Oreochromis niloticus: one gene and its partners. The main gene of each other region encodes a partner of the protein of the gene in region 2 in a complex. Links are inferred from orthologs where the notes say so. Each region holds a gene or a part of one and is shown on either strand. Other genes may lie near its edges.

Region 1 (8,374 bases), on a different chromosome or scaffold from region 2:
CAAAGGCTCCTCAGCCTGTAACTTATCTTACTGAAAAGATCAATTGGGCAGTGCAAACCTTCATGTGGAACAAATGATCAAAGACTGTTTACTCTGACCCGCCTTACAGTGACCATCAGCTGTCAGACGAGCATCTTCACAGACTGAGGAATACCGTCAACCACTTTATCTGCCTGCAACTCAACACACTTTGAGGAATTAAAATGAAAACAGCAGCACTCGGACTCCTGTGAAGCACCTGGAAAAGCTGTTCCGACTCGGATACCAACAAAAAAAAATTACATCATGTCTTCCATACCAGGCAGGCTGATAGGCAAGCCGAGTCCTAAAGGGGAGCAGTCCACTCTGACGCTGAGCCTGGCCATGTTATTTTTTCTCATTAGCAAACAAATGGGAAAACAATCCAACTCCTTGTTCATTGCCTTAATGAAACTTCTGTTCAGACTTTTGATAGATTACCTCGGTGGGAGCACTGTCAGTTACTTTCTGAGGATTTGAGGATTTATTTCAAGCCTTTTCATCTGATCCTACTCCCTGCTAAACTCTCTTCATAACGCTAGACGATTTCACTGGAATAAGTCATCAGGAAAAACTGCAACGCACATAAAAATATTTATATAGTAGAAGCCTAATTCACCCCTTAGAACCCAAAGTCTTTTTGTTTGTTGGCCCAATACAGAATGAAAACTGTGGCCAAACCAAGCTGAATACTGTGTGGTTTGACAGACCAGTCTGAGGCCATGAATGACAAGGTCTTCCTCCTTGATTCTCCAAGATACAAGAAGGACTTCAAGCAAAAGGGAGAAGAGCTGTTCCAGAGAACACTGGGGAGGTGTCTGTCCAGCATTTTCAAAGGTACTAATGTGTTCTGGCATTATTGCGTTTGAGCAGGAAAAATTAAATAAAACCAATACAGCAAACAAACTTAAAACAAAATCTACAGGTAGAGAAATGCAGAAATTCTTTGAACACAACATTTTTCATTTTTTTAAGTTCATGAAATAAAAACTAAGAGTGCAGTAACATTTAGAGAAAGGTCGAAAGTTTACTGTCTGTTTGGATATTTACTTTTTTCAGTTAACGTGTAATTTTTCTTGTAAATTATCATCTCTTTTTGTCTAAAGCAGAGCCTTTCAAAGCTATGGTATGTGTTTCTCTTCGACACTACCTTTTGTGATACAGCACAATATTATGGAAGAAACATTGTACTAGAGAAATATTATGTAGCTGAGAAACATTGGCTGATATTCTGGGATAGTGGTCTTTTTTGTTCCCTCAAACTTCGAGAAGCTGTGAAGTACTGCAGCACATCCGATTTCAGTCCAAGCATACACAGAAATATGTATCTCCTGTACATGACATCTGCTGTTTCTGTGTAACTGGACTACAAAACACTCACAGTTGCCATTTCTGTAGAGCAAGAATGGATCCTGTAGCTGAAACTCCAGGTCTTTATTGATTGGTTCTACAAGGTTCTCCGTGCTCAGTCGATTCATGATGGTGAAGCCATGGTGAGGGGAAGCAGACCTTTCAGGGACAAAAAACATAAAACATCACCTCACTGATAAAACATCTCTCTATGTCGATTAGTTTTAGTCATCCATGAATGATTTTTTATGACAAAGAATTAGCACATCTAAAAAAAAAAAAGTTCACTGATTTTCAGATCAGTTTGGCCTTTTCATCCCATTTTTGTTTCTTTAGAGTGGCTTCTTGATAGCCACCCTTTCAGTGAGATCATTTCTGATGACACTACAGTAAACAGTGCATGGATCAATTGAAAGACCACATGCATCTTTCAGGTCCTGTGGCAGGTCATTGCTGGACATAGTACCGGTTTTGTACTGTACTGTTCTTGGCATCCTGAGCTTACTCCATGGCCTCATTCTGGTAGCACATGACCAGAACACCGTAGTTGCCTAGTTTTCAATGTGGAGGAGTAGCAGCTCAACTCTGAGTCCCTTGTGAATAACTGAACTTCTCATCCTATCTCTAAGGGACAGGCCAGCCACCTTTTAGATAAAACTCATTTCAGCTGCTTGGATTTGCCATTTCATTTTATTTATTTATTTTTTGGGGGGCATTTTTGCCTGACAGACAGAACAACGAAGACAGACAGGAAAGCGGTGTGTGTGTGTGAGAGAGTGAGTGAGTGAGTGTGTGCGGGGGGGGGTCAAACCCTGGCTGCTGCTCTCTGGCCATGTGGTCACCTAAACTGCCACGGATGGCTGAAGGTAGGGATGTAAGATTGAAAGTTTCCCTTTTGGACTCTGCTCTTTCTTTACCACCGCGAATCTGTAAACCCCGATCAGTCCATCAATTTCACGCTCCCCTCTCCCCTCAATTGTGTACAAGATCCCATACCTGGAGGGAGCACTCCACCCTTTTCCAGCTGAGAACCATGGCCTCAGGCTTGGAGGTAGGTTGTAGGATTCTCGTTTACTATATACATTTTGTAAATGAGAATTTCAGAGAATTACATAATTCTCAATTCTATGAAAGATATTCATATTAATCAATAACCAATTAAATCGGTTGCTAACATTTCGTTATTTTCAAATGAATACGTGAACAGCCCTCAAAACAACGATGCGCATTAAAGCTGTTTATCAAACAAGTCTTTACACTTCAAGTGGAATTAATTTACTAAAACTTTTACTTATTAATTTCCTATTTAAACAGGCTGCAATTTTCGTTCTGTGAGCGAATAAAAATCACACGTAATCTAATTCGTGTTTGTTTACAAAGACTGAGGCCTGCACACGTGCGTAGAACACGTCAAATGACAGCGCGTGAAACGTAAGAACAAGTAAACAAGCCCTCGCGGTCAACGCGTTACATTACTATAAAAACCTCACGTGCTTACCTTGCATAAACAAACAGGGTGCCCTCGATTTCAGTCTTCTCCTGTAAAACAAAAAAGTGAAGGTATGAGTCAGAAACTATAAACATGCTGAATAATAGCAAAGGACGCTGTTAGCCCAACTATAGCTAGCGCATAAAAGATTACGCTTATTGGCATTTAAAAAAAATTAAATAAAACAATTATCAAAATGACAGTGGTGGCAAAACACAACGTGTGTAAGCATTACCCGAATAAAGTTCACTTCCACAAATATGATCAAATTTCTTTGTATTTTTTGTTTATACAGAATAGCTAGCATGCTAAGTCAAATACTTAGCTAGCTTTGACGGCTTTCTGCAAAACTCTGTACGTTACTTACAAACTTACCCACTCATTCGCCTTGGAGTTAAAGTTATAGAGAGCCACCTGGCCGGTAACATCGAGCAATTTGTTTATGTATGGATCGTGCCTCTGTAGAGCAGCTAAGCTCATCATATGTCCAGCATTTACGGTCTCCATCTTGGATATGATTGTTGCTCCCGCACGGACGGAATTCAGCAGACACATATAACTTCCGATGTCCCCGGAAACCACGGCTCTTTAAAAAAGTTTCCGAGGCACTGATTTATTCCGCATATTAATTCGAACTGTAATTCTGGTCAGTCGCATTTAGCTAGAGCTTAAATACAAAATGTTTGTACGAAAAAAAAATCTGGTGACTCTTTTGAGCTTCAAAGTCGATCAAACAACGACAACAACAACAACAACAATAATAATAATAATAATAATAATAATAATAATAATAATAACAACAACAATAATAATAACTCATGATAATCGTGGCATGATTAGATATTTAGGATAGGATATAATTTCCAAATAGTAAAACCTATTTGAGGAAAACCTGTTAAAGAAAAACGATATTTATAGCTGTGTGTTTTAATTCTGAACCTCTGTAACACTTTATGTCTTCTTTAGTTTATGTTCTTTATTTGAAATCGCACTCATCTATAGTCACGTTAATTCCGAACTTTATTCGAAATGGCAGACTGATAGTGAAAAGTTAAAACGCCCCTGTGTCCTGGCGTGACCTCTTTGTGCTTATTGTAATTATTTGGACATAATACTTTAAACCCATTGCATGCATAGTGGGATTGTGCAGGATTGCCGTCCGGACCGAGCTGCAGCTGCCTCCCTCACCTGCAGTTTATGGAACAGTGGAGCAGGATTATAATCTGGGGATTACGCGCCACCGTGAAACTTTATCCCGCAGGCTCAGGTAATCCAATCACGGGTAACCTTCCAGCACCGCTCTAACATCCCATTTCCTCTCGAATCTTCGCGGAGAGAGGACAGAAAAAAGCGCAATGAGGCCCCCGAGAAGAGCCAGGTGATCTAATGCCGTTCATCATAAGGGCAAGACCCCTGAGGGGTAAGTCCGAGCGTTTAACTCTTCAGATGGATAGGATAGGATACGGACATGGTGTTCATCCTCAAATACAGAAATTTCCCTCTTAAGGGAAAGTATAGTTGTCACCATTTGTTTCTAGCAGATTGTTCACTGTTCCGACTGGTTTCTTTTGCGTAGTCACGTGTCTCATGACCTTCATCACAGCGCTGAACCGAATCGTAAAGAATAAACAGATTCGGAGGTTTTGAGACCCGTGGATAGTTTTAAAGTAGAGACAGTCCGAGGTACACGGTTGTACTTTAAACGACCTTTAATTGCAGCCTTGCAACAGTTTTTAATTTAGGATCATACAATATATATAGTGAGATGGATATACTGATTTCTCCCTGTCTTCATTGCTCTCTGATGTCATCGCACGACTTTATTCTCCAGTCAGCTGTTTTGTTTTTAGAGGGTTCTTTTTAAAGCAACATCTGGCGTCTAGAGTTAAAAACATTTTAATGTTTACGTTGAGATGATCGCATTCGCTCTTTGCAAGTTTCCCAATAGGCGGCAACAGGTGCATTTCCAGTTGGTGGGCGCGCGTGATTTCAGCACAGTGGAGCCCACGCGATTGCTCCAACTTGTGTCAGTCCGTCCCCAGCCACAGAGAGGATAATTGACAGCAGTGGATTGACTGCCCCTGCCAGCGCGTCCTCTCGGATACGCCGTGAATCTGCAGGCAGGCACCCGGATGTGGCGAAAATGTTTGGCGCTCCTCTCAGGGTCTGCGCTCGGAAAACATTTTATGATTCAGGTTAAAGGCTCTGTTCAGGTTTCGCGCCTTCGACACCTTCGGACGGTTTTTCCAACGATGAGTTGGATTTAAAACGGATCTTTTCGATGTGGATTCGAGGATGCAAGAAGCAGATGAACAGTCTGAAGGTAAAAAAAAAAAAAAAAACCCCAAAAACGTGCGTGTGGAAGCGCAGGAGGAGAGTTGGAGCGCAGCAGAGAGAGAGGGAGAGGGGGCGAGAGCGCTCGTTCGGTTTATTCTCTGGATTTCTGATTAATCCGTGTGATTATATGCTTTGAGTCGTGGCTGCTGCTGACATGTTTTTTTCCCTCCCCAACTTATTCCAGTGCAGGGATTGTGTATTAACACTGTAAGCGCTTGTAGGCTACATTATTGTGATAACATCAGTTCTCAGATCCACTGGGAAGCGAGTTGAGGCTAGTTCTCCGAAAAATGGTTGACTATAACGGTCATTCTGAAACCATGTGACAGGGTGCTTTGAATATATTCGCTCTCCAGAACAAGCTGCGAGACGCTAAATGAACTTTTTAAGTAAATTCCTTCTCTTCTAAGTTTTTCTTTTAGAGTTTAAAAGCTGTCCAAACAAAAGCAGCAAAACTCGACCACAGCAACATAGTCAACAGCTGTTTTCCAGCATCTTGTGACAGATGTGCGACATCCAACAGAAGCGCTGGGTTAATTCCTTTTACATGTCGGACAGGCTGTGACTATTATTAACTAGCAGCGTGCACTTGTTCTGCTGCACCTGTGGTGGTGGTGTATCGCTGTATGAGAAGGGGTGGTGATGAAATGTTTTGAATGCACCTCTCACCTGCGATCGCGCTGACATCAAGCGCAATTAAAGTGAAGTGATGTTTCGGATAGACTTCCCCGCATAATAAACTATCATGTTTTGACTACACCGTGAGCGTCGAGTCATGGTGACTATGATTTTGCACAGACGAGCCCAGAATATTGATGAAAAGTAATAAAATTAAGTAGCTTGCCTGAAATCTGATAAAGGAACCAACTTTGTGTAATCATTACCTTTTAAAAGAAAAGCTTTATTCTTCTCAGATTTTGTGCCTCTCTCTCATATTGCACATGACCCACACAAATAGATTTCTCATTTTTTTTCTTTCTTTTTCTTTATTTGCTTAGTTGTGTGTTGGAGCTGTTTTTGCTGGATGACACGGTCAGTCTATAGCTGACAACACTCCCCGATGTGACTGTGCTATAGAGTTGCAGTGTGCGACTGTGTCAAGGGCACTGTCTTTTTAGCTCATGGTCTGCATTGATTTTAATGACGCTCTCTGTCTCTCCCATTCATGCAGGCTGTTCTGCTTTCTCTTTCTATAGCTGTCTTTTCTGGGCTCCTTTCAAGCCCGTCATCACCATAATTATAATCACCATAATCACTTCTTCTTATTTTTCTGCCCATTTTATCTCTGGATGGGTTCTTAGAGGACAGTTAATTGCATGTTCAACAAGTAATTGTACAAGGCAAGTTTAAATGTGAAGTAGTGATAATGTTGTCGACATTATATATGTATGTCCACTGCCCTTAGGATCCTAATAGACTTTTGCAAAAAGCTGAAGTGAAATTCTAGCAGTTATCTTCAGTCGCCTCATTCATAGGGAAAGCATGTTGATGTCCTTGTTTGAAAAGCACTTTAAAGACTGACTGATTTTTAAGACCAAGACTATGGGTATTATTTATGAGTCCTATCATGACAATATTGTTTAAAAGTAATCTCATTTTATTGTCACAGCAGGTTGTGGATTACACCTTTATGTGACCAGCTGATCGTTGAATTTGTAGACTTCCATCACTTTGCCAACAGTGAAAATGCAGAGTGCTTTCTGGTGGGCAAAAAATGCAACATCCAGACTAATAACATGGCTGAAGGGTATTTTTCCCATCGCTTGTTCACTCTTACACTTTGAATTTATCAGCCATTATATAGTAATGCCTCTGCCAATATATGGACTAATAGCTAACATAGCCAATATATCAGAGACATATGGCAGCTGATATATCGGGACCCAGCCAAATATATATATATATATATATATATATATATATATATCGTTTACACTTAATTTCTTTTAGATTTTATTTATAATTTAATAATAACAAACAAGCAAAACAATGTAATGTTCCTCACATCCACCCCTAAGATTACAGGTACAAGACAGAAAAACCCCCCCAATTTGATATAATTACATAAACAGTATAAATGATAGGGATGGGGGGGAGTCATTCTCCTTAACTCACCATCAGTTCATGAGTGTGCCATTATTATGTACATTAATAAGACAAAAACATCTGCATTATGAGTGAAAGGCAGCCAGGTGGTTCTGAATCTTTCCAGAGACTTGGCTCTACTGTAACTCAGTTTTTTTAACACAGCATAGAAAGCATTTCTCTGACCCAGATTTTAAAGGATGGAGTCTTGTCTTTTTGACAATGCAAGAAAATACATCTGTGAGACGTTAAAGGAGCAAACGCAATTGTCTTTGCTGGTGCTGCGGAAATCGTGACCTCCAAAGGCAGGAGAGCCACAAGATGGAGATATATGGAGATGCTACTGTGTTTTGTCTACACAAGAATGTCAGGGCCTCAAAAAATATTCTTCCGAAAACTGTTCAATGATTGGCTGTGGCAAAACATGTGAGCTGGAGTGGCTGGTTCTTGATGGAAGTGTAAACACGTTGAGCTAATATAAGAATATATTTCTGCAAGTTTATCATTTGAATAGTGTAGATTAAGAACACATTTTAAGCAATTTTTCTAGAACCCCCTGTGGAGTTCAGTGTTTTTATCCTGTTTGTGCCTTTGTTTTGCCCCATGAGCGTAGATTCATACTCTGAATATTAGTGTAGATTTTGGATATGTTACTTTTTGTATAGGGATCCAAAGTAAGTGTATCATCTGCATTATTACTGGCTGGCAGATATGAGCCTTAAATGCTTGCTAAGAAAACTTCTGACTTGTAAAAATGTGGAAAAAATTGGATTTTGGAATGTCGCAGCTTTTTTGCAGTGCCTCCAATGACACACATGTTCAAGTGTTTTTGTTTATAACTTCAATCTCAAAATGTTTTATCCTTGTTTCCCATTCGCTCTCTCCAGGGGCACAGTATGCCAGCAACAGAAGGACCACTCCCCCAACTGACACCTCAGCTCCCTGGTCAGAAAGAAACACCCATCTGCACCAGCTCCATCCATCACAGTCACTTCATCCTCCAGCTAGCACCGGCAAGCCCGTCGGCTCCGCTCATGGCCTCCTCGGGGCCAACAACTCCATTCAGGGCCCCGGTGGAGCTGCCCCCGGAGTCAG
Region 2 (8,207 bases):
GGAATTATTACTGAAAAGGCATCTAATTCTTTCTTTTCATAACATGCTGTCAGTGAGGATGAAACATTAACAATCTCCAACATTCAAGATCAGAAAGAAGGCAAATTCTTACCTTGTGTTGCAAAGTTGACCGCCAGCAAAGTATTTAGGACCTTGCCAAAATTGTCGCCAGTGTATAACCACTCTGGTTCAAACACCTGGATGGAAAATTTCAAAAGGTCAAAATTAGATCTGTTTTTCCCCTTCCCCCTCTGATTAAATAGATCTTGCACTTGTTTAGTGCATACATCCACAGCTAGAGAGACAGAGACACTCGCTCCAGGTTATTGCACAAACAATGGAAAGAGACACACATAATGAAATGCACACAGGGATTTGAATAAGCCTCTAACAAGACAGACAAAAACTGACATGTTTGACCCATATTCTGTGTCTTAGCAGTTTGTAATAAAACAGGCAGCGTTGCAGGCACACACAGATGCTCACTCGCACACTGCTGCTCGGTCAGTCTCAGACAGCTATCTTCTTTCCTCCAGTGGATAAGGTTTCACATTTTAAATAAAACATCTTAAATATAGGGTTTGAGTAGTATAACCTGCATTATGAGTTGTGTACAACATCTATAAGTGTGATCATTACATCGCTTAATGTGGGACGAGCCTTAGGGTCGATGTAACTAACAAGACTTGCGCTACAAGTTGAAAAAAAAGATAAGGGAAAAAGAAAGCTGGCACATAACATTACCTTTACAAATACTGGCTTTACATCACCAAAAGCAAAACAAACCGTTGGTCATCACGATAACTGTTGCCAGCATTCACAAAGGTTTTGGCAGGGGTCAGTAGTTTCAGTGAAAATGTATTTATGAGTGTAAAAATCAAAGCAAATAAATCTTCACATACAGTTAATAACACAGAACAAATATTGGAGAGCCCCAACAGTAATTGATGCTTCCTCTTTCTGCATCTCGGGGCAGAAGTGAAAGCAGAATGACTGCTTTCTCCAGTCACAGGACAAACAGGCATTATCAGCTATAGCAAAAAGGGATGAAAAGTTCTCTTAACATGATCACATCACTGACCAAAGGATGGGCGAGGTTTGCCATAATGCCACACAGACATCCCCTGGCTGCTACATTTAATAGCGCCTCTCCAAAAACCTCTGCCCATGAGCTACTGGCTGGCTGCAAAAGGTCTAATTATGGGCTAGGGCACAGTTGGTGGATAAAAGCAAAGGGGACCTCCCAGACATAACAAGCCAGCTGGGCAGACCTACTGAACCACTTGACTTTGCAGTCAGCCAGCCTTGCTGACTCAATTGGCTGTTTTAAAGAAACCAAGCGTTGTGATTCAAGACCAAAAAATATTATTTTTAAAGCTGGAAGAGACATTAACGTCCAGTGTGGTGGTAACAAACAGGCTGGTACAGAGACAGGGTAACCTCCCAACATCTGGAAATGATACACCACTTTTCAATATTAGGGAATGCACTGAGCGAAACAGCACTGCTTTGGGGATTTTTGACCTGCAGCAAAACTAACCATTAAGTCACGAGTGCATGCAGGAGAAAAGTTATTAACAAGGAAGTAAATGCTGTTCAGAACTAAGTTGTACCAATTTGAAAACAGACAGTGAAGTCATGCAGGCCAGCACTTCACTTGCTGACTGATTAGTGAGAGTGAGTGACAGCATGTCTGTTTATATGGCTCACTCCACATGGACGTGAGGGGAAAGCATATGCCAGCAGGGTAAGCAGATCAGAACACAAGCAAGAGAGTGTTCACATCTTGCAGTAGACAATTAGGAGATAACGGCAGAGTGAGGTCAGTGTATTTCAACAAAACATGCCTCTGAATATAAAACTTGACAGACCACACATTGAGATAACTTACCTCCACTTTCAAGGACGAGCATCCTTTTAAAAACTCCTTGATGTTGGAAATGCAGTCTGCTTCAGTTCTCGGGTCCTGGCAATACTGAGTACACGAAATAAATATATAAACACATACCTCGGCTTAGTATGTCAAAGAGGCATCTGACACACTTATCAAACGCTCAAGGCCAAAGCTACAAATCACTTCAGTATACACTGAGCCCCGCAGTAAGTAAAAGAGATGCCGCAACCCGACTGTGGCAACCTAAAGTTAAGAAAATAACTGTAGATTCTTCCTGCGTCTCCTTCATGCATATATAACCATTACCACCTCAAAACCGCCGTCAAAGTAGCCTTACTCAAGCAACTTCCGCTCATTTTACAGTTTCAAAATAAAATCCCCATCGACGAAAAAAAAAAAGCTGACGTTTGTGTTTTTTTAAGCAAACTTCTAACAGTTCCTGTGAGACCAATGTTGTATTGCCACCGAGAATGTATGTAAAACTAGGGTGATCCGTCTGCCATACAAGGGAGAAGTTAGTACTTCCGATTTTGTTTCGGGCTCACGTTGTCGCCGCTTTGCGCTTTTTTGTTCTTTTTTTTTTTTCTTCAAAGGGGAGGTCGCACCGGGAAGAGCAGCCGCTCAGGAGGAAGTGACGAACTGTCTTTGCAACTGTTATTTATCACTATCAACTTTGCCATCTAAAACAGTGAACACAAGTTGTTTTAAAATTTATCACCTTTAAAAAAAGGAGTCAAACAGTGTGGCAAACTCCTCCGTTTGTTCTGTACAGTACGGTCTATGCGCAATGTTTAGCGCACACTTGCTACTGAATTTGCCCTGTTTTGGTGGGTGTTCACACTGGCTCGCACCTCTCAAGAATGCGGAACATTTCTGTCGCTTCACAGGAAACCATATCGTGTATTCGCAAGTCTGAAACTCTAACTGTTGCTGTTGTTTTTGACGCGACACGCATCGCGCAAAACTATCACAGACGGCTGTTCAAACTTCATGGTTCGAGTTCAGTGAGCTACAAAATCGCAAAGGCCTGCTGGAGGGAGAAGTTCTCGTCGGTATCACTTTCATCAAACCCCTCCCTTCTTTTCACCGTCGACGGATCGTTTGGCATTTGTTGACTCGAGTTAGCTTAAATCAATAACTCACCTTGGGAGTGAAGCCAGGTATGAGGCGCTCCGAGAGCTTGCACAGGACGACTCCATCCTTGAGCGAGGTTTTCAAAAACTCCTCCGGATCCGCTATGTTCTTTTTAGGGGAGCTAAGCACTCCTAATGATATCAACCACGTTACAGTCTGCTCCTCTGGATTCATAGCTCCACGAAATGACCATTGCCTAAGCCTGCATTGCTTTTAATTTAAAAAGGAAAATAGCTGGCGTCCTGTTCCGTATCAATATGCAACTCACATCCGCACTTCTGCTAGAAGTTTAAAAAAAAAAAAAAGAGGCGGAGGGGGGGGGGGAGGACGACGCTGTTTCTACACGCAAAACTGATGATCACCCCTACTGGCAAATAGGCACCTCAACAATAGGGTTTTTTTTTTTCCGTCTTCCCCCTCTGCAAAGTAGCACATGCTGGCAGAGGGCAATCATAATTACATACTGAAATACAGCAAGGCTCAGAAAACATGACCGATATCTGCAAATTGCATACTGATAATTCAGAAGAGGCAACTATTTAAGTCTAACATGATAAAGAGTAAAAACTTATACATAATTGGGTCACTTTTTTTTTTTTTTTTAGATATGGAAAATGGGTCATCTGCCACAGGAAGCCTTACATATGGGGAAAATGTGATATTTGCAGATATTGAGTGTCTCAGCTAAAAAAATAAAAGTTTAATCATGTCATGGCCAAAATCTTAAATTTCAGGACAACAAAACAGCAAACGGAAAACCTCTTCAAAGCTTTTATTGAAAACAGTACAGAGTGCATTTGATGGCTGTACATTTCTCCCACTTTCAATGCGTTGCTCAATACGAAGATTCAGCCCGACCTCTGAACAGAAAGCTGTGCCAGCATCTGAAAGACAGCAAAAGACATCAAAAGTTAAATTTAACAACAATATTATTTGTCCAACAAACTTGGGTGTTTTTTGCATGATTTTACAACTTATACACAAAATAATATACACAGCAGCCAGAACAGGACTTTCAGGAAGTAATCTAAAAAGAAAATACAGAGTCACAATAGGACTCAACCAACTTAGTTTTGTTTGTTGCATTTAGTGGGCCAAACTGAGGAACTTCCTCATAGCACCTCATACAAAAAAAAAGGTTCAAATGTTTTGTACAGAAGTATATTTGATTTCTCAAATTATTTTCCTCCTAGCATCTTAAAAATAAACTAAATTCTTTTGGCATATCAAACCATTTTCAAAAACGGGTTGGTATCAAAGTGCCCTGCATAGCTCTACTTTCTAGGATTCTCTAAATTCCCATTTTACAAATGCATTTTACATTAATAAGTTACAGAAAATAAAGTAAAGCAAACAAAAACATACCTAACATGCAGAAAATACAAAAAGGTATTAAAATAATCATAACGCCCACTGTAGTCAATTATTGAAGACTTTACATCATTAGTAATGCTGACAGGCTCACATCGATTTTAAATAAACACACTGTGTTCATGATTTGGGGCAAAATTGCTGTAAAATGTCTCAGCAGTAAAGGTTGTCCATCCCATCTTAATTGTGTACAGGTAGATAAAGACTTACTAGTCTGTTAGACGTGCTTATGCAGATTCACTGTAGCTCAACTAGTCCAGCAACTTGAAGACATTCAGATATGTTGAAAGGGCAATTGCCTTGAAGCAATGTTCATCCTGCAATGAGAAGATCATATTAGTATGGTGCCTTTTTCTTAATTATGTATTATGAGGTAACTGAAAATTATATTGTTGTCCTTGGTCCAACTGTACATTCGTTTCATTGTTTTTCGGTTTGGCAGTTAGGACGATGGTGCTCTTCCAAAGGTCTCCATTGTTTGAATTGGCATGCTCAAGGAAATGATTTTGATACCAAGTCTTTAATTTAAAGATTGCTTTCAGGTGTTTATAGAGGAAAAAAATTACTAAATATAACCCCATGATGTAAAAAATGCACGGTTGCCAATCATTTTACTGATGTTGGATGACTGGTTGGGCAAAAAGGAGCCTTGGGGCTCAGTTGGTAAAACGGGTGTTAAAAGCATTCACTGGTGAAAAGGGAAGAAACTTCTTGGCATGTTGCTGCACTTTTGACAATTTTGAGTGACGAAAATGGACTACAACGAAAAGGTTCATTTCAGTCGACTTCCTTTTTTCCTTTTGTTCCTTGAAGCCAAGTTTCCTTGAATATCGCCCTTTGACTGGAGAGTGCAATACAGGACAATGAGAAACTCATTTACAGATGAGAAACAAAGAGTTTTGCTTTGCTTACCAGCTGTTGACTATCAGTCGAGTTGCATTTGGTCGTTGCATGCCATCAAATGGCTCTAGGGTGATGAATCCATTTCCAAGGAACTACATTGGAACATTTTGACAGTAACATTTGCCTAACCTTGAAAACAGTAGCGTCCAGTTGGAAGTACATTTGTGGCAAGAATGAACGCATCTCACTCCAATATTTAGCAGACTCACCTAAGTTTTACAGAGGACCTTTTTAAGGAGATCATGTTGTTACGTAACATTTGTTACGGTCTGTTGTTGAAAAATCGATGAGAAAAAGTTATGGTACAACTAAAACCTTTATTAGATTAGGAAAGCCATACTTATAGGGCATTGCAGATTTCAACAGCACTGAAAGTACAAAAAACTAACACTCACTTGGTAACTGTACTGACATAAGCAAGAGAGAAAAAAACTTTTACACATAAAAGAAAAAAAAAAATTGGGAAAGTCAAGATACAGTTCAAAACTAAGCTTCAGATTCCACAAATTTAGACATGGCTAGTTTGTCCTTCCTCCAAAACACGTTTTAAGTGTGCATGGAGACTAACGTTTGGTTTAATGACATTTCCAAGTCCAGTTCAGTATCTGCTGCGAGCCATTCCTCTATCGACTCGACTGCCACCACGGCCACCACGTGGCCCTCCACGACTTGAGCTGTTGTATGAGTCACGAGGAGGGTAGCCTCTCTCGGCAGGGGGAGCTGGGCCCCTATCCTGTCTGCCCATTCGCTCACCACGGCTAGGTGGATATGGGTCACTCCGACTGTTGGGGTAACTGTCACGACTGCCATAGCCATCCCGGGAACTGCTGCCATAGTCATCATAACGACTGCTTCCACTGCTCCCACCATAGGATGGTGGGGGGCCCCTTGAAGGTGGGGCGCTGCGAGAGTTACCTGCAGGGTCAATGGTTCAGGTAATTGGCAAAGTTCAATTTATACATTTTTCTTTGCACGGTCAAGTGCTATTTTTTTTGCCAATAGAATTCATTCTGTGACAAAAAAATAGATAAAACTTAATGGATGGCATATTTAAAATGTTCCACCCTTTTAATACTTAACATGGATATTTTGTTGATATGCGCAGTAATATATCCAAGCACAGAACAAATAGGCAGTGGTACCCATTTCAGCATGCCTTTGATTTGAGTAGCCATTTTTCCATTTAGAGATCCAAGTGTAGGTTAGGGTGAGGTTTTCAGTTGTCTTGATGGTTTTCGAAGATTACTCCTTGAGGGAGTACTTTGCTGGACAACACATAACGGGCAACGGATGTTTCCACGGATTTTTGAGGTTCCTTATGGTTGCAAAAACTTTGAGGTGCATCACATATACATGATATTGCCAAACTCATATTCTCCTGATGAATGCAGGGGTAATGCAGACTTTGGTATGTAGACACTTTTGTTTTTCAGTGGAGATGCCAATGGTAAAATATTTCTAGTAGTATGAAAATATACAACTTGGATTGTAGGTCAGGGAAAGAAAAAAAATAAATTACTATGTTGTTTCCTCTGAGGATGCAAAAAAAACTGCAGTATCTTGTGATAGGACAAGGCAGGTTTGGTTGAATATTTGTGCACTTCTTCTTTGTGCCACAGCGATTACACATTGTCATTTCACTCATGGAGTTATGTCTTACCGTAACCATCATATGAGTCTCGGTAGGAGCCACCACTAGGACGGTCCATATAGCTTCTTGGTTCCCTGCCTCCTCCATAACCATCACGGTCACTGCAAAAAGCAATTGTCACTTAACAACCAAGGGAGATCTGACCTCAGGTTTTTACTTTTTGTATCAATCCAGGCTCATACCCGTATCCTCTTGACATTGAGCCGTAGTCATCGCGGGAAGTGGAATTAGAATATTCTCTATAGGAATAATCTCTGGAAGGTGGCCCATAGTCCCTAGAATCTCTGGAGTAATCCCGACTGGAGTAGCTGTGAAACATTACAATACACCTCAACTCTGTTTCCTGAGCATAAATTTGTGTTAAATATGTGGACTTTTTAAACAGAAAATTCAAATATAAAAAAAGATGACCACAATAGCTCTAAGCAACAGCAACTATCAGCATGTTACAGTATATCAATCTTGAGGTTTGCCATGTATGTTCACACTAGTGTGTATTATGAAAATACCAACCTGTCTTTTGAGTTGTAATGATCATCTCTGGGTGACGGATAATCATCCCTTCTGGACATCATCGAGTCTCTGCGAGGTGGAGGTGGACCATAGGGATCTCTGTCCCTTGACATGGGAGCTGGAACACATAATGAGAAACTGATGAGATTAATCACCAAATTACCATGAGACAGAAGTATCCCTAGTTACTTGCAAGAGAAACAGAAACTAGATACTAAATGAAATCTAGAGACTAAAATCTGTACAATTAACTTTTTTTTTGTAATTGCTTCCACATCACTTCCTGCATTTAAATATTGCAGAGTACAAGCACTTACGTCTGCTCATGGGACCAGAGGGGGCAGACCTCTTGGGTGGGGGACCTCCATTTCGAATAGGGGGCCCTCGTTTCATTGGAGGGGGGCCTCTGGATGACATCCCTTTAAAGAAGGGTTCTACACTTCCTGAATCATAGTAGTCTTTTAAACAAACAAGAAATGCACATATTAACATACTACATTCAAAAGCTGCAACAAAATTCCATCCAGAGATTATTATATCATTACACAGATTCTTCCAATTTACAAACTGAGCAGACCCAAAAACACAACTAAATAAATTACCTCTTGATGGGGGGCCTCTCATTCCACCAGGACCTCCCCTTGAACCACGTGGACCTCTGGGTGGCCCGCGACTGCGAGAGTGCATGGGTGGAGGTCCGCGCCTGCCAGCACTCTCAAACTGAGGTTTTGTAGCTTGCTC
Region 3 (7,467 bases), on a different chromosome or scaffold from region 2:
CTCTTCAAGGGGAAGAGGAGAGAATTGTTCTTTATGTGCTTCGTTATTATTGCTGATTTTATTGAGTACACTGTTTTAATTTCCTGTGACATAAAAGATGGTCAAAGTCTTTCGTGAAAATGGAGTTTGTTTCAGGGAAATGCTTGCTGCCAGCTCCTTTCAGTACAGTTTGGTTCTTTGATTAAGAGTTTTTTTTCACATTCAAACTGTTGTAGAATCTGTGCCAAGACAATCAGAAAAAATAGTACTGCTGTCAAAAAGGGAAACCACAGCGGCATGCAGCTGAAATGCAAAGAGGCTGACAGGGACGATTCTTTACTTTATTTCTATATTAAATAAACGGTTTTGCTGATGGTTTACCTTTTTCCTCACTTGCATTTAACTTCCTGTGAACCTTCACATTTCTCTCTTGCACTCACACAGATTATGTAACCCTTCTGACCAGCTATTATTGTCAGTGCTGAGGTTCCAATACAACACACAGAGTAGATTCTGCGTTTCTTGTTCATATAAGGATAGCTCTACTAATAACAGCCTTTCGTCTACGGGAAGTACACATCTGTGCCACGATCATCTCGGCACTGTGCAGCTGTGTTTTCTGCTGTTGTCTTGCTCACAGATGAAAAGCAGCAAAGGAGATGAGATTTCACTTGGAGCCTGGATGAAACTTGCGATGGGTGACAGGTGTCGTGTCAGAACAGGAGTAATGTGTCAGTAAATAATGAAGAACACTGTGGGAGTCACTTTTATTTTGTCTTCCAACTGCCATAATGCACAATACAGCAATGTTAGTCATTTAAACAAACGCCAACTGTTTTCAGTGTTTTAAGAGTGCAATAAAGATATTCACTACTTAACTGTAACTCAAAGTGCTTTGAAAAAATATTTGCCCCCTTCCTGATTTCTTGGTTTGTTTGTTGCCAGGCATCCTCTTAATTTAATTTTGGTTAATGTGGCCAAAGGGGGACTTTTATGTTGAAGACTCTTAAACATAAAAGTCCCCCTTGCCCACATTAACCAAAATAAAAGACCAAATGCTATGATCAAACAAGTTAAACATAAGTAGATGGGATGAGGCATCAAAATTAGATGAGGGAAGAAATGTTCTGAGAAACCAAACCCTCTCTATTTAACACTTAGAGACAACTTATCAATATTTTATTAATGGGTTTTTAATGTACTTGGTGATGTTATATACATAAATACGTCAGTCAGGAACTATGTTACACAGCTTGCTGATATGGGATTTTTAATACCAATACTAATATTTGGTTATTCAAAAAGCCAATATTCCAATATTTTGGTGGATATTAAAAAAATAAATAAAAATATCTAATAAAAGGAAACAAACAGATTTTCCTTTCATTTGTTATGTGTATTCTATATTTACTCGTTTATACTCTGCTCAACTGCTCAGCAAGTTGTATTTGTGGTGTTCAAACTATGGAACGTTTATATTCATAATTATTGAATATGGGTGTTTCTCACAGCTCTACTTTGCTTTTTTATTGTCATTAATCAGCTGTTATAAATGCCAAATCAATATATTGGCAGGTAGGTAATATCAGCTGATAATAACATGTGACAACCTGGTTGGCCTCTATTAACTTGCACATAATCATTTTCAGTGTATGAAGAAGTCTTCACATTCTACTTAAGACATCATCTATGGAGGATCAAAACTGCCAACTAAGAAAGAAAGAAAGTTAAATGTCATCAGTGTGTTACAAAAAAATAAATAAATGAGCATTCGTTTATAAAAATGTAACATGGACTGATGTTTCTATGACAGTTTTCTAATTTCTAAGGTTTAGTTTTTCTTCATTTTCCTCAGTAGGCAAATGAGGGGACTGTCGTAGGTTCAGCTTTGTACCTATTAGTTGGTCAAGAAAAGCTCAAGACAGAAATGGTTCATGAGACTGTTAGAGTAAGGTGCCGAGCTAATGTAGCTCAAAAAACAAACAGGCAAAACAACACTCAGTACTGTTAAAAAATATGAATGCAAATCAAACTAAATCAGCTTGTTACATTTCATAATTTAATCAGTGCCAAATTATATTTGTTTTTGGTCCATTTTTGGTTTATCCATCAGTTTTTTTAAAAATCTTGGGCCTCTTTACATTTACAGTTTCAATTTGTTCTCTACACCTCGCCAAGTTTTTTTTTCAAACTTCTTGTTCTCACTAAGTAGCCTTAATTAGGTTGATGCTGAGATTCCCGCGACACATTAACAGAATTATCAAACCTTTCATTGTACAATAAATCAAAGTAGGCTTCACTGAGGACGAATTTATCCCTCTGGCTCTAATCAAATGGATTACACAACAAACGACCAATGAGTGCGAACAGTCTAGTTCCCAACTCAATACACAGCAGGATCATCCTCATCACCGAGGGCAGCTATCAACCTCCACAGACCAAGCACAGCAAATGTAAATGTGCTCTAACTCAGCCCGAGCTACTTGCTTTGATCTTTCATGGTTTAAAATTCACATACGACCTGCATGCAAATTATGTTGTCACTCTATAGGAGCAAGCTCAAACAACACTTTCTGGCAATCAGCCGCAACCTATTAAACACTGTAAGTTGAAGGAAAAAGCAGCACAAGCCTTGTCAGTATATCTAGGTCAGAAGAATGCAATGTTTTCTAGTCCGTATCCACTTTCTCAGCTATGAAGTGAGGTAGTCATAGTAGCACGAGCAACTCCACTTTAATGTACTCTTTCAGCACTGCCATATGGAAAAAAATACAACACATACACACACACTATGTAATTTACAGTTACAATCATCATGGTTATCACCTCTTTTAACACAACACTTGCACTCATGGACATGCATACGAGGCAAAGAATTACACAAACAGAAAGTGCACAGATGGATACAGAGAGGGAGAGAACTGGAGAAAGAATCCAGAATTCTAACACTGAAGTAAGGAGAGGAAACAGGATGACTGGTGATGACAAGAAATGGGAAGGAAGGCAGAGAAACACAGATCTTATTCTTGCTTTTACCTGACAGGGAATCAGAAGACATCTTTCCCTGCTGCTGCATCTTCAATGCTTGATCCAGATTGTGTGGCTGTAGAGTGAGCGAGCCAGCACGCCTCACTGTGTGTGTTTTGATGACGGAGTCTGTGTAGCAGCTCGGGGAGTGAGCGAGCGAGGAGCGAGCGAGCAAACAGAGCCAGGAGAAAGGTGCGGGAGAAGAAATGAGCTGCTTTTATTGCCTCGTCAAGTGTCTCCAATCTCATTCTGACTTTCTCTCATTCCTGCTCTCACTTGCTGCGAAAGTGGATGTGTTGGACTTACATGGAGCACATGTACTGCAGATGAAGATTTATGAGGTACACAGGGGCAGGGAAATGGGAGGAGCATGAGAGGAGAGGGGAGTTGCAAAGGTTGAAGAAGAGGAGGTGCTGAGGAGAGGAAGAAAGCAATCACCTGCTAGTGTGGGCTTACTCAGTCAGGCACTGAGGCATTATTCTTCCCTCCCCTCTATGTAACCTTGCAACGCAGAGCGCTAAGCCAGTTCACAGCTTACATGTACTGCATCACTTTGACTGTGTGTGACAGATCCAATCTTTAGTGAAACTGCAGTCTAAATGGTATAATACCAGCATGTCTACATGAGGGCACGCAGGAAATCAACACGCTCATTCTTAAGGCTTGGGGAGCTTAGTATAGTGCACAAAGAAGAGCCGCAAGTGCAGAAAGCTTTGTTCTTTTGTCTTAAGCTGATGTTTGTATGGAGACAGGTCGGTTAATGTTCTGTTGTTCAAACTCTGTCTCCACGATAAATAAATGAAGTGGGATTAGAAATTCTTAACAACCTTGGCGGCTTGTAGGATGAATGACTTTTCGCTTTCACTTGATTAAAAAAGGCGTAACCATTAGATGACATCAGATGTGCACTGACTCTACAATTCAAGGAATGCACCACGTTTTTGAAACACTGCGGGATTTATTTGCACCTGCGAACATACCTCTCATTATGCATTAAGGCTGTCAAAACTGACCAAAAATTTGATTTAATTGTTCTTTAAAAAACACAAACATACATAGTTTAGACTATTCGCCTACAAATGTCTAATAACAGGAGACATATGTGCTTATATATGTATGTCTATGCTCAACGGTGGCTTTGTTAGGTTCATCTGTTCAACTGCTCATTAATGCAAATATCTAATAAGCACAAAACATGAAAGTAACTCAGTGCAGGCATGCAGGCACGGCCAAGATGACCTGCTAAATTACAAACTGAGAATCAGAATGGGTCATTTAAGTGACTTTTAATGCAGCATGCTTGTTGGTGCCAGATGGGTCTAAGTATTTCAAAAACTGCTTATCTCCTGGGATTTTCCCACACAACCATCTGTAGAGTTTACAGAAAATCATCAGAGAAAGGGAAAATATCCCGTGAGTGGTGGTTCTCTGGGTAAAAATGCCTTGTTGGTGTCAGAGGTCTGATGAAAAATGTCCAGACTGCAGCAAGCTGAGGTCAACAGAAACTCAAATAACAACTTGTTACTTCAAAGATATGCAGAAGAGCATCCCTGAATCCATAACATATTGAAGCTTGAGGCAGATGGGCTACAGGAGCAGAAGACCACAGTGGTGGCTACCCTGTCAACTAAGGACAGAAAAGCAGGGGTACAGTTCTGACACAACTGGAAAAATGTTGCCTGGTCTAATGAGTCTTGATTTCTGCTGTGACATTTGGATAGTAGGCTCAGAATTTGGTACAAATAACATGAAAGCATAGAGCCATCATGCCATGTAGCAATGGTTCAGGCTGCTACTGGTGGTGGAATGGTGTTGGTACTCAAATCATCTCAAATTGGTTTTTTTGAACAAAAAATGAGTTTGGTGTACTCAAATGACCTCCACAGTCACCAGATCTCAATCCAATAGAGCCCCTTCGCGATATGCATGACTGCACACCAATCCACATCACTAACACGGTCATCAAGTTTATAGATGACCGTGTTGATGTGGTGAGATTAATACACAATGCTGATGAGTTTGCTTACAGGAATGAACTGTCAGTATGGTGCTCCATCAATTACCTGACACTCAGTACCTCTAAAAGAAAAAAGCTGATCCTGAGCTTAAGGAGACAGAAGGAGAAACTTGTCACATTACACATGGGTGGAGACACTGTGGAGAGAGTGTCCAACTTTAAATTCTTTGGCACACACACATCCCTTCAGGACGTCACATAGAATATAAATACAGCCTCTCTGGTGAAGAAGGCTCAGAGGTGGCTCAACTTCTTAAGGATGTTTACAAAAGCCAAACTGTCCAAACAGTTGCTGGTGTCCTTCTGCCGTAGCTCAGTGTAAAGTGCACTCAGCTATGGAGTTTTGGTGTGGCATTCCAACTGCAATAAGGCTGACAAAAAGGCTCTTAAGAAAACCATCCAATCGGCACAACCAACAACACTCACTCACACTGCACTTGAGGAGATCTACAGAACCCTGGTGCTCATGTCAGACCCCGAACATCATCAAGGACTCTTCTTATCCTGGGCGCCGCCTTTTCACTCACTTGCCCTCTGAAGGATGCTACAGATCAATAAAAGACTGCGGCTCCAGACTACAGAAAAGCCTCTGTCCAAACTGTCAAAGTGCTCAACTCTGTCTCATAACACACTCAAAACATCCTGTGCAGTATCACTAGGGGCTTCTCAGCGGATGTGTGTGTATTTCTTGTAATTCCTATGTGTGTGTGTGTGTGTGTGACCTTTCTTTCGTCATTGTTGATGATGATGATGCTCCCTTACTGTATTTGCTTGTTTCAGTTTGACTAACATTTCATTTCACTCAGTGTAAGACAGATGTTGTTTGAATCCTTCATGCTTTCAGGCTTTATACCACTGTACTGAAAGTCCAGCAGCCTGACCTCTTGTCAAGCTTAAGCCTAAGGTAGGTTTGTAGGTAAAGATATTTTGTTGAAATAAGCTGATACATTTCAGTTAGCTACCATACATTGTTGACCCGCCGATAACTGTTAAATAAAAGTTTACGTAAAAGTTTTAAAGAAAGAATAAAGAGAAAGTATAACCAGCTTTGCGTCATTTGCAGCTCAAGAGCAGGGAGTTGGAACTGAATATATATTTTTCTTTTCACAAATCTATGTAAGGTTTGTTTTTTTCCACCCCCACATCACTATTTATCATACTTCTGTTTTTTATTTGCTAGAACTGGAAGTTTCTTTTTCATCTTTGCCAACACAGATTTATTTAGCTTTGGGAAATACATGCAAAGTTCCTCTTCCTCGGTAAAAAGTAAAAAGCCCCAAAAAATTGGGTTGAATTTGACAACTGGATCCATGTTACTTTATGTGCTACATTTATGAAATATAAAAGCTCAGCCTTTCTGAAAGTTCCATCTTGGTCCACTGTGGTAGGATATAATTTAATACAACATTAATAAAACATTTAGATTTTCTTAAAGCAAAGCTTTACAGAAAGAATTTTAATGTGAATGCATTATTCTAAATTAAGAGCAGACTTTCTGCTCTGGGAAGCAGATCTGGAGTTCTCCCTCCCATCCTATTACTGAACTGCGTGTGACTAATATATTCCTCCTACCTACAATGCATTCACCCGACTCCTTCCCCCTTATTAGAATGTGCCGCGATAGTATACTGTACATATAACAGGGTCAAAAGAAATGACTTCATTATGACATGTTCTGGGAAACATATGCATATTCAGAGAGTCCAAATGGATTTTATTGCAGGTTAATGCAGATACAGTACAGTGCTCCTCCAGGAAATTTAAAATCAGACAAAGAACAACATAAATAGCCTCTTTTCACCCACAACTAATGAGAAACTTTTATCTCAGAATATATTAAAATGAAAATTCTCATTTTTATCAATAAATATGCACCAAACAATGTGGTGCGTACCATGCCAAGGATCCAGGCATCTAAAAAATTGAAGATGATGTGCTATTAGTGGTAAATGTTAAATTCTGTGAATGTCACTACATGCCATTTTGCTCACTGTCATCTTTCCATAGGTTATATGTAGCCTCAGGGCTGAGCCTGTTCCTTTAATCTACCCTCGTGAATGGCAGACCGATGAACTGAGCAGACTACTGGCACAAATACAGCCAGTGTCAGTGTTTGAAAACCATATAAAAAAAATATATCAGGCGAATGTATAATGTGTCTGAGTTTTCTAACTTGTATGGGTTTGGAAACACCAGTGGACTACTTGCAAAAGCAACACCATGTTGACTTGTTAACTATGTGGTGTGCTGTGCTGAATGGATGCACGGCCAGCAGTTTGTCAAATTCTTACTGTTAAGAGGTCATTAATAAATCGGTCGTGCGTTTGCCAATTTCATAAGAAAGCAGCTTTGTTATCTGCAGTTGTAAATGTTTAATAACTAATTTATATGTGGGTTTTCCCACAGATTCCCCACAGACCTAGAGTGGTTACTGTAAGCAGTGA
Region 4 (7,623 bases), on a different chromosome or scaffold from region 2:
ACTAGAAATTAAAATCAAATGAATTCTAACAACAGCTGATCAAGCTTAAACGTGCTGCTGTTGTTTAGCGCGATAAACAAACAAGAGAGAAAAGCCGATCATTGATCAGTTTCATGACTGAAGTTTGAACAGGCGAGAGAATGACAGGGGAGGCTGTCATAAAGTTCAACATCAGTAACTTAGCGCGCACACAGCTGTATAGAAACTCCATCGTGCTAGCTACCACGCAGTACGAGTTATTATAACTGATTGTAAAAAGTCAGCACAACGAAAATAAACTACACCTAAACTCGGTTTATATCTGACCCAAATAGAGTGCAGGTCATAACTTCTTACCTGAAATTCAGTTCACCTCACGCTCCGACCGGCAGCCGCCTGCTTCTCCTGCCTTCGGTTTCCCTGATCCACGATCTACCACCGGTCGATCGGCGGTCACCTCGCCGCCTCGTTCCCCGCATGTTCTTTCTGACACACACCGGTGGATAGCTGCCCTCGGTTGTAGCTCCGCGTCAGCGACTACCAAACAATTCAGTTATTTTTTCCACATCGACCAGCATCTGGACAATCCACCGCCTTTCACTGTTTGTACCGTTACTAAAAAAAAACCCTCATCGGCTCATAAAAACGAAAAATAAGTCCAGCTATGACCCTGAGTCAAAAAGACAGCCAGCTCGGGTTAGCTAGCTGTCTAGCTCTTTGCAGGCACCGAAAACATCAGAGCTAATATGGGATGTCTTGGTAACACGAGCAGATATTTGAAGTTTACATCTGGCCAATCCACCACCTTTCACTGTTTATACCGTTACTAAAATGAATAAATAAATAAATCATCGGTCCATATAAACGAAAAATAAGTCCAGCTAAAACACATACTGTCGGCGAGCGACCGGGTGCTGACACGAGTTTCACCCGCCTCAATATAAGCCAAGCCTGGGTGCTTTTTCACGAAGGGTCGCTAGCGGTGCTAGCTAACTATGCTAGCGGCGCTAGCTAGCTAGCCGGCTATCAGCAACACATAAGAGAACTGCTGCTAAATAAACTACACCTAAACTCGGTTTATATCTGACCCAAATAGAGTGCAGGTCATAACTTCTTACCTGAAATTCAGTTCACCTCACGCTCCTGCCTTCGCTTTCCCTGATCCACGATTGACCTCCGCGTTAGGAAACACCGGTCGATCGGCGGTCGCGGCATGTCCTTTCTGTCATACACCGGTGGATAGCTGCCCAGTGTTGTAGCTCCGCGTTATAGCACCACCAAACAACTCAGTTATTTTTTCCACATCCAGCTGTAACTCCGATTCTATGCGAGCATTTGCGAGAGACAAGGGAGGTGAAACGACAGAGAGTCCCCTCGCTATCCATTTGCAGCCAAGTGCGGCAGCTAGCTAGATAGCCGGCTAGCTGTCAGGCAGGACCGACGTAGTCAGAGCACTGTCGCTAAATATGGGATGTCTTGATAAAACAAGCAGATATTTGAAGTTTACACACCTACATTCTCGCCTGAAAATATCTTAAAAGTTTATTTTGTGACCTAGAAACACTAATAAAAGACATATAAAACGAAGTGGTGGCCGCCATTGTTTAACTCGGCAGAGGTGTGCTATGAATTGTGGGATATGGAGTTTTCCACCAAGCATAGAAGCCATTGTGTTTACCGTAACGATTCAATGGTTCGCGCAACCTTAAAATCTCCAATGGTTCCTGAAAGCAGCGAGGCTGTGCGCGCCATTGATATTGTCATCATTACGGTATCCAAATAAGGGTAGACAGGCTGTACCACTCCCGGCATACCACTAGAGAGAACCAACACACCACAAATGAAGTTTGAAATTTGTTTCAATGGGACCAAAAGATGGCGCCAACACACCACAAATGAAGTCTGTTTATTTGGCGCCAAAAGATGAATTGGCCTAAATTTGCACTAAAATATTAATATTTAAAAAACTATAAAAGTTATGAACACCAAAAGTCATGACATAATAGTCCAGCTCCAGCCGCACAAAATGATCTAACATATGTAACCCTAATGTCAAAACTGTTCGGCAGAGGAGCGCGGGAAAATTTTCACTAAAATATTAATATTTAAAAAACTATAAAATTCATAAAGACCAAAAGTCATAGCACACCATTCCAGATCCGGCCGCACAAAATGAGGTAACATATATGAAGCTTGTCTCAAAACTGCGGGGCGAGATTCGCTGCAAAATTTCAGGCGGAAACTGGAGAATAATAATAATAATAATAATAATAATAATAATAATAAATCCGAGGAATAGTAATATGTGTGCCTCTTGGCATAGGCACACATAATTATGATCCCACCACACGTATATGATTCCACATAATGTGTATGTCTACTTTAGTACCTGTACTTGAATGCCCACCTGTGTATTTCTGACTTAAGTAAAAACTAAATACTTCTATCACCTCTTTCTAAATCAGTTATTACGTACTAAACAACCTTCAGAGAAACTTTTCATCTGTGTTTGGACTCACTGCTGCACATCAGTGTGAAATTCTTTTGTGTTTTCTGCCAGATTTTTCTCCTGCATTTATTTCTGATGATATATTCTGATTTCCCGTGGTCCCCCGTGTGCCTTGCTCTTGGTCTCCACATGTGCCACCCCGTGGAAAAAAACCCTGGAAACGCCCCTGCCGGTGTAATAAAATAATAATCATACCACCCACTCCTCAGACTGTTACAAGCTCTGATCTTTGTGCGGGTTTTATGGGCCTGCAGGTTCCGGGGCGTTAATATAGAGGTGCAGTGGACAGAATAAGGAGATAACAGTGCGCTCCCAGCCTACAGTAATCATTAACCCCTTCTATTCTCACGCAAATGAGCTCCCAGCGCACCATGCCCGGCTGAGAATGGAGATGCAAGGCTAATTCAGAGATAAAGTCCAAAGGTTTACTCACCACTTGTCCGGTCGTAAATGTAAATCCCACAGTGCCTGCGTGGTAATTTCCGACACCGGGACACCACGTCTCCTGTAGTGGGAAAACTCCGCTACCCTGTCGGCTCAGCCCTGCTGTGCTCCGTCTCCCTCCTGGCTGCTTTTTTAACAGTAAACTTGCCGAACCCAGCCTATTGTTAGCGAGGCGCAGAGAAGGCTGCTGCACAGAAACGCCCGCCTCCTCCAGCGCCATTGGACCCTGTTCAGCCTCTCTCTCCTCCGATTGGCTGAGCCAGATGTCCCCTAGAATCCAGGGCGGGTCGCAGCGCCCCGGTTCACAGCGCGCTGTGCTGCATTCAGTGACACTAAAAAATAGTTAGAAATTCTACTTTTCGTTGGGTACTGGCTCCCGGCGTTGCTTTCAAGTTTAACACTGACAGTAGATCTTGAAAGCAGAAAGAATAAGGAATTTATGAAACCATGAATAAGATCTGATTATTAAGACACAGACATGGGAGCAGTCTGTGCCAGTCAGCTGAAAATGCAAGTCAAATCGTTTTATCTACGAAGCATATTTAAACACAAGTAACGGAAAGATTTTTACTTTATCATGATATCATTATGATAAATGATTTATTGTATTAAGCTAGATTATTTGTACATGTAACATGTAACAGTTAGCCTTATGTACGCTAATTGTTACATGTTTTTGTTTCTTTTGTACTTTTAACTGCTGTAACTCATTTTCAGAACTTTAAGATGTCTTATGTTATCTCAAATAAAAAAATACCATCTGACTCATTTTAATAAAAAAATTAAAAGTAAGTTTAATGTTTTTAATGTTTCTTTTAACAATGAAAACAATTAACAGAAAATTGCTGTAAAAACAAATAAATCAATTATTTGATGATACAGATCTACTGGGGTAAACGACACGGTAAACAAAGAACATGCTTGTGAAATTAACCTAATGAAGAGGGGAAAATAAAAGAAACCTATGAAATAATAAATATAACAAACAGATTATATCTCCAGAACTTTCATTTGCATGTATGACATTATTATATTAAAAATATATAATTTTTTAATCTAAAATTTTCAAAGCAAATAATTAAACATGTTATTCTATGTACTGTTGCCTCATTAAGTGGGTCCAGGGTACAAAATTAGGGAGCCTAAGAAAAGTTGTAACGCTCTATAAAAATATGCTGTGTCTGTAATAACTGGACGAACATCTATAAATGCTCCTTCTCATTTAAAACCCGAGATACACAAAAAGCCTAAATTTAAGAAGCTGTTAAGCGTTTTAAGAATCTGAAGATAAAATTATATTATTTTCTTTTTCCTCCTCCAGCAAACTCAAATTAAACATGTAGAGAAACAATTTTTCTGGTTTTACTTTATGGGGAAAAAAACAGAAGAAAAAAGAATTTAGAATAAATTTGATATTAATTCCATCCAATCACATATCATGTCAGGTTAAATGATCCACAACTACATGAGAAGAAGAATTGGATGGCGCCATCTAGTGGCGAGAGGCTGTTGAAACCTCACGGTGGAAATGAGGAACGCACATAAACTCAAACAGGTTAACAGCTGTTTTCTAGTTCTGAAAAACCAAAACCCAAAAAAGTTTAGAAAGATTTGGGAAGTGAAAAATTTGCTCAGGTCCTTGCTGAAGCAAATTTTTCCAAAATTTCCTACAATTATAAACAATATATACTCACTATATACACGACTCTCACAATAAACATTTACTGCCTATCTTATGAAAAAATAATTTCTAATGTTCCCAGTTTGTTTGGACAATGATTAGAAAAACATAAAATAAAATAATAAGTCACACTGAAAGAAAACAGAAAGTAAGAAAATATCTCTTTATTATCTTTGTCTGTAGATATGCTGCTTTCAGTGGTTTGAGTCGTTTCCTCCCACACACACAAACAATTTCACACACATCAAAATGGTTTTTTGCATATTAGCGGCGTGTGTGTGTGTGTGAGAGAGAGAGAGCTTAAATTTTGTCCAGATATTCACAAGTAATAGAGGCTGAATTTTAATTACTTTACTAGTCCTCTGACTCTGATGGTGATATTTTCTTATGGGGGACTGACAGCTGAGCATAGAACAAAAGAGATTTTAATGGATTTAAATAAAATAAGACAAATGTACTGCAGATAGTTTACATGATATTCCAAATAGAGTCTACAACTACAAGGAAATAACAGTACTCCAAGTCAAAGGAACATGAGGCGCTGGCACTGAAAACTGTGAGTGTCTGGGCTCAGCTTTAAAAATATGGTGAGGAGCTTGGTCATTAGTGACCTCATAGCTGAGGTGTTTCAGACGTCTTCTACCTGGAGGAGACCCTGACACTTTGTTTTTCGGCAGCCCCAGGAACGCTTTTGTGTCTTCCTAGAAGAAGATGAAGATGGCTGTGGAGAAATCCCCACTACCCCAAAACCTGGACGTGTATATGTTGTGGCTATGATGTGACACAGTTTAAGCCTACGCTCTGTGCATTCAGATCCAAAAACCAAAACACACGATGAAATATATAAGTGAGGCTTTCAAAGTTCTTCTTATCTGATGTGTATTACATCACTGTAGAACAAACCATAAAACTGTAAAATGTACTTTCAAAACTATCCAGTGGGCTGGGTTGGACACACAGGCCCCGTTTAGTCCCCCAGATCACACATCTGATACTTCTGAACCTGCACAACAAACTTTGTGAGAGCTGTGAAGTATAAAAGCCGCTTGATAGACAGAGCGCTTGATATCGAGCCAAGTGCTTCAAAGTGTTTCTTGATGATCAGATAAAGAAGTGGCGTTCCTCCTCCAACCTCAAATAGGAAGCTCATGAAGCGAGCAGTGTCAGTGTTTGTACGACACTCACCAGGAGACCTCTGAGCAGGATGGCTGCAGTCGCACAGCTCTGCTTCTCCCTGATGTTCACTCTCATCAGCAACATTCATGCAGAAGAATTTATCGTGATAATCGAGGAAGGAGGATTCAATCTCCCAGATGAGGGCAACTTCTGCACTTCACAGTACATGAAGATCTGACAGGACGACTCTCAGTTCCTGAGACATTTCATGGTTCTTCTTTTACTCTCAACAACCTGACGGACTAAGACTCTGGACTGTACCAAGATGTGTGCTGGACTCAGGGCAACGTGTCATATGAGAGACACATAAGCCTGACTGTGTGTAGGACAGTAAGTGATTGAATATGTTTTATTGAAAATCATGAAGCAACAGCAGTAGTACATTATGAGCGAGTAGATGACAATCTGATGGTCCAGTGGATCAAATGTGAGTTTTCATGGGAAATTTGCATGGGGAGGACATTTCAATGGCAGTTTTCATTGGCAGTATGATCTGGACCAGGGCATTAATAAGATCCTGGACAATCTGCAAGCTGGCGGTATAAGGTGGACTAACATCCCAGAGCTTTTCTATCGGGTGAGCATGCAGGTATCAGTTGATTCATCCTCCAGGAAGTGTCTGCATACTTTCCAGATGAGATGTGTTGTGCACCAGGAGGAACCCAGGACTGACTGCACCACCATAGGATCTGATAGTTGGTCTAAGGACTTCATCCCAATACATGATGGCAGTCTCGGTGCTGTTGCCTGACCTGTGCGTCCCTCCATGGATATGCCTCCCCAGACCATCACTGATCCACAATTAAACCCTTCATGCTGAACGATGTTCTGGTGAACCTGCTCTAATCTGTGAAAAGCACAGGCTGCCAGTGATGGACCTGCCAATTCTGGTCTTCTATGGCAAATGCCAATCTTGTCCCCCAATGAGCAGTGAGCACAGAGCCCACTACAGAACGCCAGGCCCTCAGACCTCATGAGGTTTATTTCTGATTGTGTGGTCAGACACATTCACACCAGTGGCCTGCTGGAGCTTGTGTTGTTGCTCTGGCAGTGCTCATCCTGTTCCTCCTGTCTCTAAAGAACAGATACCAGTCCTGCTAATGGGTTAAGGACCTCCTGAAGGTCCAGAAGAATGGCACCAGCTCTCCTAGAGTGACTGTTTGTCTCCTGAAATCTCCTCCATGCTCTTGAGCTTGAGACTGTGGTGGGAGACAGAAAACTTTTTAGCAATGGCATTGATTGATACCATTGCTAGAATGGCATCCCGAAGAAGGCGGAATACCTGTGCAACCTCTGTGGGGTCTTGCTTCATACTACCAGTCGTCACACTGACTCTAGCCAGCAGGAAATAAGGAGGGAGAATATTTCTGTGGTCTCCGCCTGTAAAACCATTCCTGTTTTAAGGGTTGTCTCACTGTTGCCCCTCTAGAGTACCTGTTGGTAATTTCGTTAACATCAAATCAGCAGAAACTGACTAACAACGCCCTCTGATACTTACCGATCAGATCAGTATCCCAGAAGTTTAAACGACAAGATGCTATATCCTTCAATTTTTTTGAGCAGTGAACATTTTTTTGGGGGGGGGCAGCTGGAAAAAATTCCTTTCTGACATTGTACACATGAATCAAACTGTCCTAGAGTACATTCACTAATCTACCATCCAGTTTGTGACATGAAAAGAGAAACAGGACCAGAAACTACTTGGACTGGTTTCATACGCCTCATCTTTTACCCTCAAAGAAAGCATCAGTACACCATTAGTACTCAGAGACACCTTCTTTCTCAGGATGTCACATGAAGAGTAATAGATTACATCTCTCACAGTATCTGATCA

The links.
Region 1: arhgef6 (region 2) and dcp1a share a complex: the UniProt entries of both Homo sapiens proteins name them as parts of the cytoplasmic complex. The link is inferred for Oreochromis niloticus from reciprocal best matches to the Homo sapiens genes ARHGEF6 and DCP1A.
Region 3: arhgef6 (region 2) and dab2ipb share a complex: the UniProt entries of both Homo sapiens proteins name them as parts of the cytoplasmic complex. The link is inferred for Oreochromis niloticus from reciprocal best matches to the Homo sapiens genes ARHGEF6 and DAB2IP.
Region 4: arhgef6 (region 2) and pak1 share a complex: the UniProt entries of both Homo sapiens proteins name them as parts of the cytoplasmic complex. The link is inferred for Oreochromis niloticus from reciprocal best matches to the Homo sapiens genes ARHGEF6 and PAK1.

The regions. Positions count from the first base shown.
Region 1 is NC_031984.2:24,735,829-24,744,202, forward strand, and holds the start of dcp1a (mRNA-decapping enzyme 1A), read right to left. Parts: upstream 3,416-8,374; 5' UTR 3,413-3,415; coding exon 3,233-3,412; intron 2,908-3,232; coding exon 2,867-2,907; intron 1,528-2,866; coding exon 1,400-1,527; intron 1-1,399. Other genes in the region: cacna1db (voltage-dependent L-type calcium channel subunit alpha-1D), read left to right, coding at 5,153-5,180, 8,167-8,374. UniProt on the Homo sapiens protein: Necessary for the degradation of mRNAs, both in normal mRNA turnover and in nonsense-mediated mRNA decay. Removes the 7-methyl guanine cap structure from mRNA molecules, yielding a 5'-phosphorylated mRNA fragment and 7m-GDP.
Region 2 is NC_031966.2:19,367,981-19,376,187, forward strand, and holds the start of arhgef6 (rho guanine nucleotide exchange factor 6), read right to left. Parts: upstream 3,336-8,207; 5' UTR 3,203-3,335; coding exon 3,038-3,202; intron 1,976-3,037; coding exon 1,892-1,975; intron 198-1,891; coding exon 113-197; intron 1-112. Other genes in the region: rbmx (RNA-binding motif protein, X chromosome), read right to left, coding at 5,901-6,217, 6,963-7,054, 7,136-7,261, 7,467-7,584, 7,784-7,924, 8,069-8,207. UniProt on the Homo sapiens protein: Acts as a RAC1 guanine nucleotide exchange factor (GEF).
Region 3 is NC_031972.2:15,120,267-15,127,733, forward strand, and holds the start of dab2ipb (DAB2 interacting protein b), read right to left. Parts: upstream 3,265-7,467; 5' UTR 3,056-3,264; coding exon 3,016-3,055; intron 1-3,015. UniProt on the Homo sapiens protein: Functions as a scaffold protein implicated in the regulation of a large spectrum of both general and specialized signaling pathways.
Region 4 is NC_031979.2:35,549,833-35,557,455, forward strand, and holds the start of pak1 (serine/threonine-protein kinase PAK 1), read right to left. Parts: upstream 3,110-7,623; 5' UTR 2,922-3,109; intron 1-2,921. UniProt on the Homo sapiens protein: Protein kinase involved in intracellular signaling pathways downstream of integrins and receptor-type kinases that plays an important role in cytoskeleton dynamics, in cell adhesion, migration, proliferation, apoptosis, mitosis, and in vesicle-mediated transport processes.